Tribolium castaneum: one gene and its partner. The protein of the gene in region 1 interacts with the protein of each later gene in a biochemical or structural test. Links are inferred from orthologs where the notes say so. Each region holds a gene or a part of one and is shown on either strand. Other genes may lie near its edges.

Region 1 (4,187 bases):
CGATGCATTGCCGGGCGTACGCCAAAGCCTTGCATTATAAGGAAGAGGAGTTTCAAAGGGGGGCGAGCAGCCAGGTTGTCGAAGCACTCATTTCGATCAATAATAAGTTGCAACAAAAGGAGGCGGCTGAAGGGTTGTTACAATACGTCATGCAGAGGGAAATGCAAGTGCAGGTCAGGTGGTACGAGAAGTTGCACAATTGGGAGAAGGCCCTGAGGTTGTATACTGAGAAACTGGAAGGGGACGAGGCGGACCAAGAGGCTTGTTTGGGCAAAATGAGGTTCGATTCAATTTTGTCTTTTCCCAAAAAAATCCTAGTTATGTTTTATAAACTTCTACATTGATTTTTCAGATGTCTCGAAGCGTTGGGCGAATGGGGCGAACTGCACCAAGTCGTCGAGAAAAGTTTCAGTTTACTAAATGACGACAGCAAACAAAAGGCGAGTCGGCTAGCGGCTGCGGCCTCCTTCGGTTTGCACGATTACAGGTCAATGGAAACTTACGTTAATGTAATTCCAAGGGATACGCAAGAGGGTGCGTTCTACCGTGCAATTTTGGCAATACATAAAGAGGATTACGAAGTGGTTTGTACCGTAAAAATCAGACAGATCGGTTTGGTTTATTAACCGGTTCCAGGCCCAAAGATTCATCGATTCAGCTCGCGATTTACTCGATAATGAATTAACTGCGATGGCTGGTGAGTCCTACCAAAGGGCCTACGGGGCCATGGTCATGGTACAAATGTTATCCGAGTTGGAAGAAGTAATGCAGTATCGGTTAGTGCCAGAACGGAGGCCCACTTTAAAAGCCATGTGGTGGCAAAGGCTCCAATCGGGCCAAAAACTAGTCGAAGATTGGCAAAGAATCATCCAAGTCCATTCCTTGGTCTTGACCCCACAAGAAGACAAACGAACGTGGGTGAAATACGCGTCATTGTGTCGCAAGAGCGGTTCATTAGTAAGTTCATACTCACACTTGATATTTTTTCTACAGTCGGTTTGATAGATGCTATCGCAAAAAACCCTAGTCATGTTACTCGGTTACGACCCAAGCGAACGTCCCGACGCCCCCTTGCCCAAAAACCAGCCTCACATCACACTAGCCTACGCCAAACATTTATGGGTGGCACAGGAAAAACAAAAAGCGTTCCAAAAACTATCACAATTCGTCGCTGACTATTCGCAAAACGAGCCAAACGACGACGTGACAGTTGAAGAGAAAAAAAGACTCCTGGCTAGGTGTTACCTCAAACTGGGGGCCTGGCATGAGGCACTTGAAGGCATCAACGAAACCTCCATACCTTTCATTTTGAAGTGTTACAAACAAGCGACTGAACACGACCCTCAATGGTACAAGGCATGGCACGCTTGGGCCTATATGAATTTCGAAACGGTCTTGTATTACACGAGACAGGAGGACAAGACGCACTATACAGTCTTAGCCGTTCAGGGATTTTTCAAGTGAGTCGGTTAAAACCGTTTTTTAACCCTAATTGTTCGTTTCAGATCGATTAATTTATCTAAAGGAAGTTCATTGCAAGACACTTTACGTTTATTAACACTGTGGTTCGATTACGGCGATTGGCCCGAAGTTTACGATGCCATAGTCGAAGGCATTCGTTTAGTCGAGAAAAACACGTGGCTTCAAGTAATTCCGCAATTAATCGCGCGAATTGACACAACGGCGTTAGTATCGAAATTAATCAATCATCTATTGGTTGATATTGGAAAAACGCATCCACAAGCCCTAGTCTATCCGTTAACCGTCGCAACAAAAAGTAATTCAATCAGACGTAGAAATGCAGCTAATAGTATTTTAAAATCGATGAGTGAACATTCCCCTACGTTGGTAAGTCAGGCCATGATGGCCTCAGAAGAATTGATCCGAGTGGCAATTTTGTGGCACGAAATCTGGCACGAGGGACTAGAAGAAGCCTCAAGATTGTATTTCGGCGAACGTAACGTTAAAGGAATGTTGCGAATTCTCGAACCGTTGCATGCGATGATGGAAAGGGGGCCCCAGACGTTGAAAGAGACGAGTTTTAATCAGACGTACGGCAGGGATCTGAACGAGGCGCAAGACTGGTGCCAAAGATACAAGGTTTGTATTTTCACCTAAATATTTGCTTTTTTTGTCTTTATAGTCTTTATCAATGAGGAAAAATTAATTAAGTTTTGCTAAAAAAACCTGTGGCCACTTCACCAAGAAAAATTTGTTATTTCAGCTTTCGAGCAACATTAGAGACCTGAACCAGGCGTGGGACCTCTACTACCACGTTTTCCGCCGCATTTCGCGTCAATTACCGCAACTCACCTCCCTCGAATTACAATACGTATCGCCAAATTTGCTAGTTTGTCAAGACTTAGAGTTGGCAGTGCCTGGTAGCTACTGTCCAGGACAGCCAATCGTACGCATTGCCAATTTTAACCGATCTCTCGAAGTAATTACCTCAAAACAGCGGCCCCGAAAACTAGTAATTCGTGGAAGCAACGGCAAAGACTACATGTTTTTACTTAAAGGTCACGAGGATCTGAGACAAGACGAGCGTGTTATGCAACTGTTCGGTTTAGTTAATACTTTACTAATGAAAGACCCGGATACGTTCAGGCGGAATTTGACGATACAGCGGTATGCGGTGATTCCCCTGAGTACGAATTCGGGTCTGATTGGGTGGTTACCGCACTGTGATACGCTGCACACTTTAATACGGGATTATAGAGACAAGAAGAAGATTTTGTTGAATATTGAGCATAGGATTATGTTACGGATGGCGCCGGATTATGATCATTTAACCGTGATGCAGAAAATGGAAGTTTTTGAGCACGCACTTGAGCACACACATGGTGACGATTTAGCGCGGTTGTTGTGGCTGAAAAGCCCCTCGTCTGAGGTTTGGTTTGACCGGAGAACGAACTACACGCGGTCTTTAGCTGTGATGTCAATGGTTGGGTATATTTTGGGGTTGGGGGATCGCCACCCCTCCAATTTAATGTTGGACAGACTGAGCGGCAAAATCCTGCATATAGATTTCGGCGATTGCTTCGAAGTGGCAATGACTAGGGAAAAATTCCCGGAAAAGATCCCCTTCCGTTTGACTAGGATGCTAATAAACGCCATGGAAGTGACAGGGATTGAAGGCACGTACAGACGGACTTGTGAGTCGGTCATGTCCATGTTACACCGAAATAAAGACAGTCTGATGGCGGTGCTTGAAGCCTTTGTTTATGACCCCCTGCTTAATTGGCGATTGATGGATATTGAGGTGCGGAACTTGCCGATGAACAGCGATTCAATGTCGACGAGTTGTTCCCAAAAACAGGGCTCATCCGAATCGCTCAATGTTCCGAAACGCGAGATGATAATGGAAGATAACGAACCGCAACACGAAGTTAATGCCAGGGCGGTTATTATCATCAATCGAGTTAGAGATAAACTGACCGGGAACGATTTCGCTACGGAGGAACCTTTGACTATTCCTAAGCAAGTCGATCTGTTAATACAACAAGCGACAAGTAACGAGAACTTGTCACAGTGTTACATAGGCTGGTGCCCCTTTTGGTAACTCGACTGCTGCATCTAATACCGTGATAGTTTTTTGTTGTGTATCTTATTATTTTTTATATAATCTAGTTGAAATAAAGTAATTATTACAAGTGTGTGTTTAGGAGCGCAATAAACAACTAAGATTAATACAAACTTACCAAACGTGCGATTTGAGCGACTTTTTATCACTTAAAATTTTATCAAACTTTTTCAAATGACATAATTGACAAACTGAATTGCCAACCTGGCAACAAAAATACGTTTTCCACAAATAATTCGAAAAAACACAATTTTACCGTAAATAAAATAATATTTCGTGACCACTGATCAATTTTCGCACAAACTATTTTATTATTACAGGTTTTAAGGAACATTTTAGCAAACTTCAAAAAACTGTAGTTTTGCAACAAAAGACGATCAAACACGAAAAAACAAAAAAATTAGCATTTTTAGCGTTAAAAACGTGCAATTGTAATAAAAGTATATTGCAAGCTTACCTCAAATGAGTCTGGCCGTTTTTTTATCAAACGTAATCACTTTTTGTGATTAACAATTTTTCAAAATAACGCAATTGTTAGTCACCTGTCAGCAAACAAATTTTTGACAGCCGACAAATTTAAAAAGATTTGGTACATTTTAATAAA
Region 2 (5,387 bases), on another chromosome or scaffold:
GACGTGGAGGTAAGCCCCCGCTTTTTTCGTTTTGGATGACTCACTGTTCGTTCTCCGGTGCGCTTTTTCCTCTTCTTCCATAGAGGGGCGCGTCATCAGGGGGAGGCTTTTGGAATTTTCGTCTTCTTCGTCTTTTGTGGCCGGCTTGAGTAGCGTCTCGCGGTTGAAAAATAAGTTGTATTTTTTGCGCAAAGTGGTGTTTTTGTCGTTTTCGCGCCTCTTGTCCCTTTGTTTGAGTCTTGCTCTGTAGGTGTCCGTCTCAGGCCCTGGGACGATGCACTTTTCGCTCACTTTATTCGTGTAGTCATTCGGAGGGACGTAGGAAAAGGAGGCGACTGTTCCGCTGCTTTGTATCGAATTCAAGCTCTCACAACTGCTGGAATTTTGAGTGTCTATGGATTCGCGAGAAGTCGAGGGTTTAAACCATTTCAAGAAAGCAAATAAACCGCTGTTTCTTTTGCTAGTTTTTGGATCACAGCCAGGACTTTGTCCGATCTCTGAATCTTGGTGATTGAGGCTCATAGTATTGTTATAATCACATGTTTGGTGGCAATTCTTCTCGCTACCACAACAAATGAGGAAATATCACATTACGAAAGCCACGTGTTAGTCATCAATCGAGGCAAAGCGTTTTATTCGGATCGAAAGTAATTATATCAAATTTGGACTGGTGTTAGAATGGCACACCCGACTTACCGATCGCGTTGTCTTAAATTGCGGAAAAGTTTCTTTAATTGAGTTTCTTGATCGCCGAGTTTTCGAGTGTATTTTGAGAGTTTACGTTCGTGACGTTGGGAACGGAGAGAAACGACGCTCGACGTCCCGATGCTTGGGTTAAATTTAGTAAATGGATAGTTCGGCTACGTCCGGTTGTCAAATTGTTTCTCAATTTTCTGTTTACTAAATAACATTAAAAATAAACACGGCCTATGATAAACTGAGGAGCGATGGAGATGGACTTTTTTCATCGTAGCTTTCAGCTTTTCGGCTTCAGATGCATCGCAGCAGTAAAAATAGTTCGGTTTTATGTAAGAGTGTAAGACTATAGAGGATCTATTGGATAGCTACAGGATTTTGTAATATTTTTGGATGATTTATTTAAGAGTTTAAAAAAATCAATCCTATTTTTAAATTTAAATTTTATTTTATTTTGTATTTAGATACTTATAGTATCATTTCTTAAAATCTTATATTTTTTGAAATTTTTCATCTTTAATAAATAAGTCGAATTTTCTGCATATACCTAAGGTAGTACCTGATAGGTATTATCATTAATCAAAGGTCAAAACCACGATATTAATTTCTTCAGTCTGAGGAATTCAATGTTGATTGTTCTAAAAATAAATAAAACACATTTAATGATAACAACCTTTATTATTGAATAATTATCGATGTGCATGGTCTACAAATATGCAATGCATTGTTTTTACAGAATGATTTTTTTTGTACATACCATTTTTCTAAAATGCAAACAGTCATATCATAGAAAAAAATTTAATGTTTTACATAATAATTTTGTAATCACTTTGTACATATTTTTGTTTTCATTTCATTACATAACTGATTATAAATATTTATTATGAAAGGAATCCAGCTTCCAAGCGATAACAATTTCTGTATCTATTTTTATTATGCAATTCATTATAGTGCACCTGGAAATTCGTGTGAATTTAAATAAAAAAAGTATATTAACTGTTGAGCGAATTAATTATCTTAATTAAGCATACTCAAATAACAGTTATTTTCGATGCTCTTGCCCTAATTAATCAAGGTGGATTGTTCAATTGCCAGCGGCGTCCCACTTTAACAAAAAATTAAAAATTATAATTCATACTTCTAAAAAAAAATTCAATAAATCCAAAATTGAGTTTTTTTTTTGAAAATAAATAAATAAATAAATAAATTTGCGGGCAAACCGCAGACTAAACACGTATCTATCATAACAACCCCTACTACTGATGAAAAACAAGTAATTCGCGTGATATTTTCCTATAATGTTGCAATAATAGGAGTCAGAGTTTACAATTTTGCAATTTTCGATTTTGTTACGCCTCTGTGTGACCTTAGGGGTCATGTTGGTGTAAATAAGAGCTCACAAAGGCAAGCGATGGGCCAGGGTCGCCAACTCGCCGATTTTCCTTGGGTGCATAAAAAATCATCTGCCGGTTAAGTTTTTGGCACAGTTGTGTGCACTTTCGTGTTCTTTTGGTGTAAAAACAAGAACAATCGTCGACGAAAGTCGTTTTGTAATTCTAATTGTGTGCGTCCGCTTGCCAGTTTCTAATTTTGCGTCCGTTAGGTTGGCATCGTCCGCTTGACATTCATTTGTGTACAAGCTCGATTTATGTCAGAGTGAAAAACAGTGTTTTTTCGTGAAAAACTGTAGTAAATTTTGTAAAAAGTTTGATTCGGGTGTTGCGTTAGTTGTGCTCGTTCGTAAAATGTACCACTCTTCGTATTCCGAACTCTAGCAAAGGCGAAATTTCCAGAATCTCGGACTGTCATAAACAAACAAAGTGGACTCGCCCAGTGAAACATTTGAGTTTTTTCCAATTCGAATTGACTCTGCCCCAAAACACTTTTTCTTTTTTAATTTCTAATAAGTGTAATGTGCCCAAACTATCTGTTGAGCAAGTCGGTGAAGCGTACTTTGGTCCCGTCGTGTCTCCGCCACTCCAAGAGAAAAGGCATATTCATACACCCGACCGCAATGTTCAAAAACTTTTCCGCCAGTGCTTTAAGTCCGTTATTACCCAAATAAACATATCAAGTCCAAAAAGTACAAAATGAAACTGCTCGAGAGTACAAGATTTGAAGCCATCAACAACCTCCTGTCGATCCAGACCGGAGACAGCCAAATCATCGGCCGCATCGAGAGCTACTCCTGCAAGATGGCAGGGGCTGACAAGGCCCTCTACAAGCGGTTCAACCCCGAGGGGGTGCACCCCAACGACTTGCAAGCCCTGTCGCCCCCCGAGGGCGTCTCCCCCGGCCATTCGCAGTACAGCCGTAGCGTCTCAGGCGACGAAGAGGGCCCGCTTTGCGACACAATCAGTCGCAAGACTCTCTTCTACCTCATCGCAACCCTCAACTCGGCCTTCCCCGACTACGACTTCATGGACGTCAAGGTACGACCTGAAGGTCGGCCCACTCTATTTCAGGCCCGCCAAGTCCCCACCCAACAGTCAACACCATTTTTTCTATTCTTTGATGCTTTTATAATCGCCCGATACCTTTATCTCGGGGATAAGTTTCGAAAAATACATTCTTGAAACAAATAAACGCAAATAACTTATCGGGCGTTTATCTAAAATCCAGCCTTAGCAAGTTTAACTATTTGATTTTTGAAAATCCTTAATCTTTATACTTTAATCATTAACTAATTAAAAATGTTGAGAGGCTCATTTTTCCAAAATTTAAGATTAAGGTCATATCGAAATAAGTATTGTTATTATTACTGGCCTTGTAGAAATATGTAAAACATTGAGTAGTATTTGAGCTATTTTTTTACTAAGATGATATGTGAAAAAAAAAACAATCTTTGATCAGATTTTGAGAGATTTTATTAAAAGGTAGAAAATTACATGTTTACAGGTTTGTTCCGTTGAATTCAGCGGCTCATTTTCTGTGTTATACCAGCTTTTAACGAGATCTAACATTTTAAAATTTTTTGCTAAAAATTAATAACTCAAAAACAAAAAGTCGTAGAGCAATACGGTTTGTTCCATTGAATTCAGCGGCTCATTTTCTGTATTACACCAACTTTTAACGAGATCTAACATTTTTAAATTTTTTGTTAAAAATTAAGATAGGCATTTTCTATAGTCGAAAATTTTATTCAACAAAAAAATTCATAACTCAAAAACAAAAAGTCGTAGAGCAATGCGCTTTGTTCCAGTGAATTCAGCGGCTCTGTAAACCTTAAAACTTTATGCTTGAAACTCTGTAATTTTTGCTTGCAACAGGCCTTAAGTTTATTCTAAAGCTTATTAGAGTTATTTTGTTAAGGATGCTTTAAAGTTGAACGCTGAGAATTAATTACGGGTGGCGTTATCTATTGGAGTGATAATGAGCCATGTTTCCAGAGCCACGAGTTCAGCAAGGAGCCCTCGCGCCAGTGGGTCGAGAACGCAATCGATTCGAACTTGATCGCCACTGCAGGAGACCAGTACCGCGGTCTGGGGGCCTCTCTGTGGGCCGCAATCAACGACGAGATATCCCTCGAAGATTGCGACATCTATTCTTACAATCCCGATTTAGCCTCGGATCCTTTCGGGGAAGACGGCTGTCTCTGGAGTTTTAATTATTTTTTCTACAATAAGCGACTAAAGCGTATCGTTTTCTTTACTTGTCGCGCCGTAAAGTGAGTTTTCTGTAAGCGGGTTTGACGCCCGGCTAACTCGTTCTGTTTGCAGTCCGTTCAGTATGGATTCCGGCTACGCCACTGATTTCATCATGGACGAAGTGGATCTCGCTTACTGAATATTTTTAACGTGTTACTAATTTTGATGTCAAATCGTACTATTTGAGTTGTAGTTTTGGTGAGAGCAAAAGTACAAAATATTTTTTTATTAGTGTGAAACAATAGGTTAAGTGGAATGTTGCGGTATTATTAATTTTTACTTATGCTGTAATCACCCCATGGCTTTAGTAATTAGGAGTTTAGTGACTTTTTCTCTGGTTGCTGGTTACGATCTCACGACACGTCTAGTTATCTAATGCAATATCGTACAAAATATAAGATTTCACGATTTTAGTACTAAAATGTATCTATTAAATGTATATCTAATTTTCAAAGGCACGATTTGCTTGGAGTTCAACGTTCAGTTCCAAGTGCCATCCTTATAGTGAGTTATTTACTGTAAGATCTGATATTATAACATGTTATTTAGTCAGCTGTGGTTTCTCAATTCACTTCCTACCCGAGTCACATACAAATTTTGCTCCTGACCGGTCACAATTTGCATGGAAATTAAGTTTTTTTGGTCGAGATACGCAAAATAATTTTTATCTTTAATTAGATGCCGTATATGTCGTTGACACCTGACGTTAAATAATTTAAGTTTGTTTTTATTAACTTGTAAAATCGTACATCAGGACAATTTTATGACATGGTTATTTAATTTCCATAATATTAATAAGTGCTTAACGCACTGTGACCGGTATCTACCCAATTATCCCTTAATCTTAAATCCAATTTAATGCCATATTTTCTAAAGTCGTAAAATTTTGGTAATATGGTATGGAGTTAACGACTGGATTAATTGCGTTCTCTACCGGGGAAACATTGTAGTAATGACAGGTGTGCCCTTGAAAGTCTCGTAGAATTGAATTTGGGTCTAGCGTGTTCGATACGAGCCATAATGAAATTGTCTCAACCTCTCATG

Evidence for each region. The genes of interacting proteins can lie anywhere in the genome.
Region 2: of the proteins of mTor (region 1) and Maf1, one has a biochemical effect on the other in vitro, tested with the Homo sapiens proteins (2 studies listed by BioGRID and IntAct). The link is inferred for Tribolium castaneum from reciprocal best matches to the Homo sapiens genes MTOR and MAF1.

Annotation. Positions count from the first base shown.
Region 1 is NC_087399.1:3,309,764-3,313,950, forward strand, and holds the end of mTor (serine/threonine-protein kinase mTOR), read left to right. Parts: coding exon 1-280; intron 281-352; coding exon 353-584; intron 585-636; coding exon 637-957; intron 958-1,005; coding exon 1,006-1,460; intron 1,461-1,505; coding exon 1,506-2,100; intron 2,101-2,224; coding exon 2,225-3,562; 3' UTR 3,563-3,653; downstream 3,654-4,187. UniProt on the Homo sapiens protein: Serine/threonine protein kinase which is a central regulator of cellular metabolism, growth and survival in response to hormones, growth factors, nutrients, energy and stress signals.
Region 2 is NC_087398.1:6,530,725-6,536,111, reverse strand, and holds Maf1 (repressor of RNA polymerase III transcription MAF1 homolog), read left to right. Parts: upstream 1-2,131; 5' UTR 2,132-2,786; coding exon 2,787-3,128; intron 3,129-4,085; coding exon 4,086-4,363; intron 4,364-4,415; coding exon 4,416-4,482; 3' UTR 4,483-4,895; downstream 4,896-5,387. Other genes in the region: uncharacterized protein LOC663202, read right to left, coding at 1-522. UniProt on the Homo sapiens protein: Plays a role in the repression of RNA polymerase III-mediated transcription in response to changing nutritional, environmental and cellular stress conditions to balance the production of highly abundant tRNAs, 5S rRNA, and other small non-coding RNAs with cell growth and maintenance.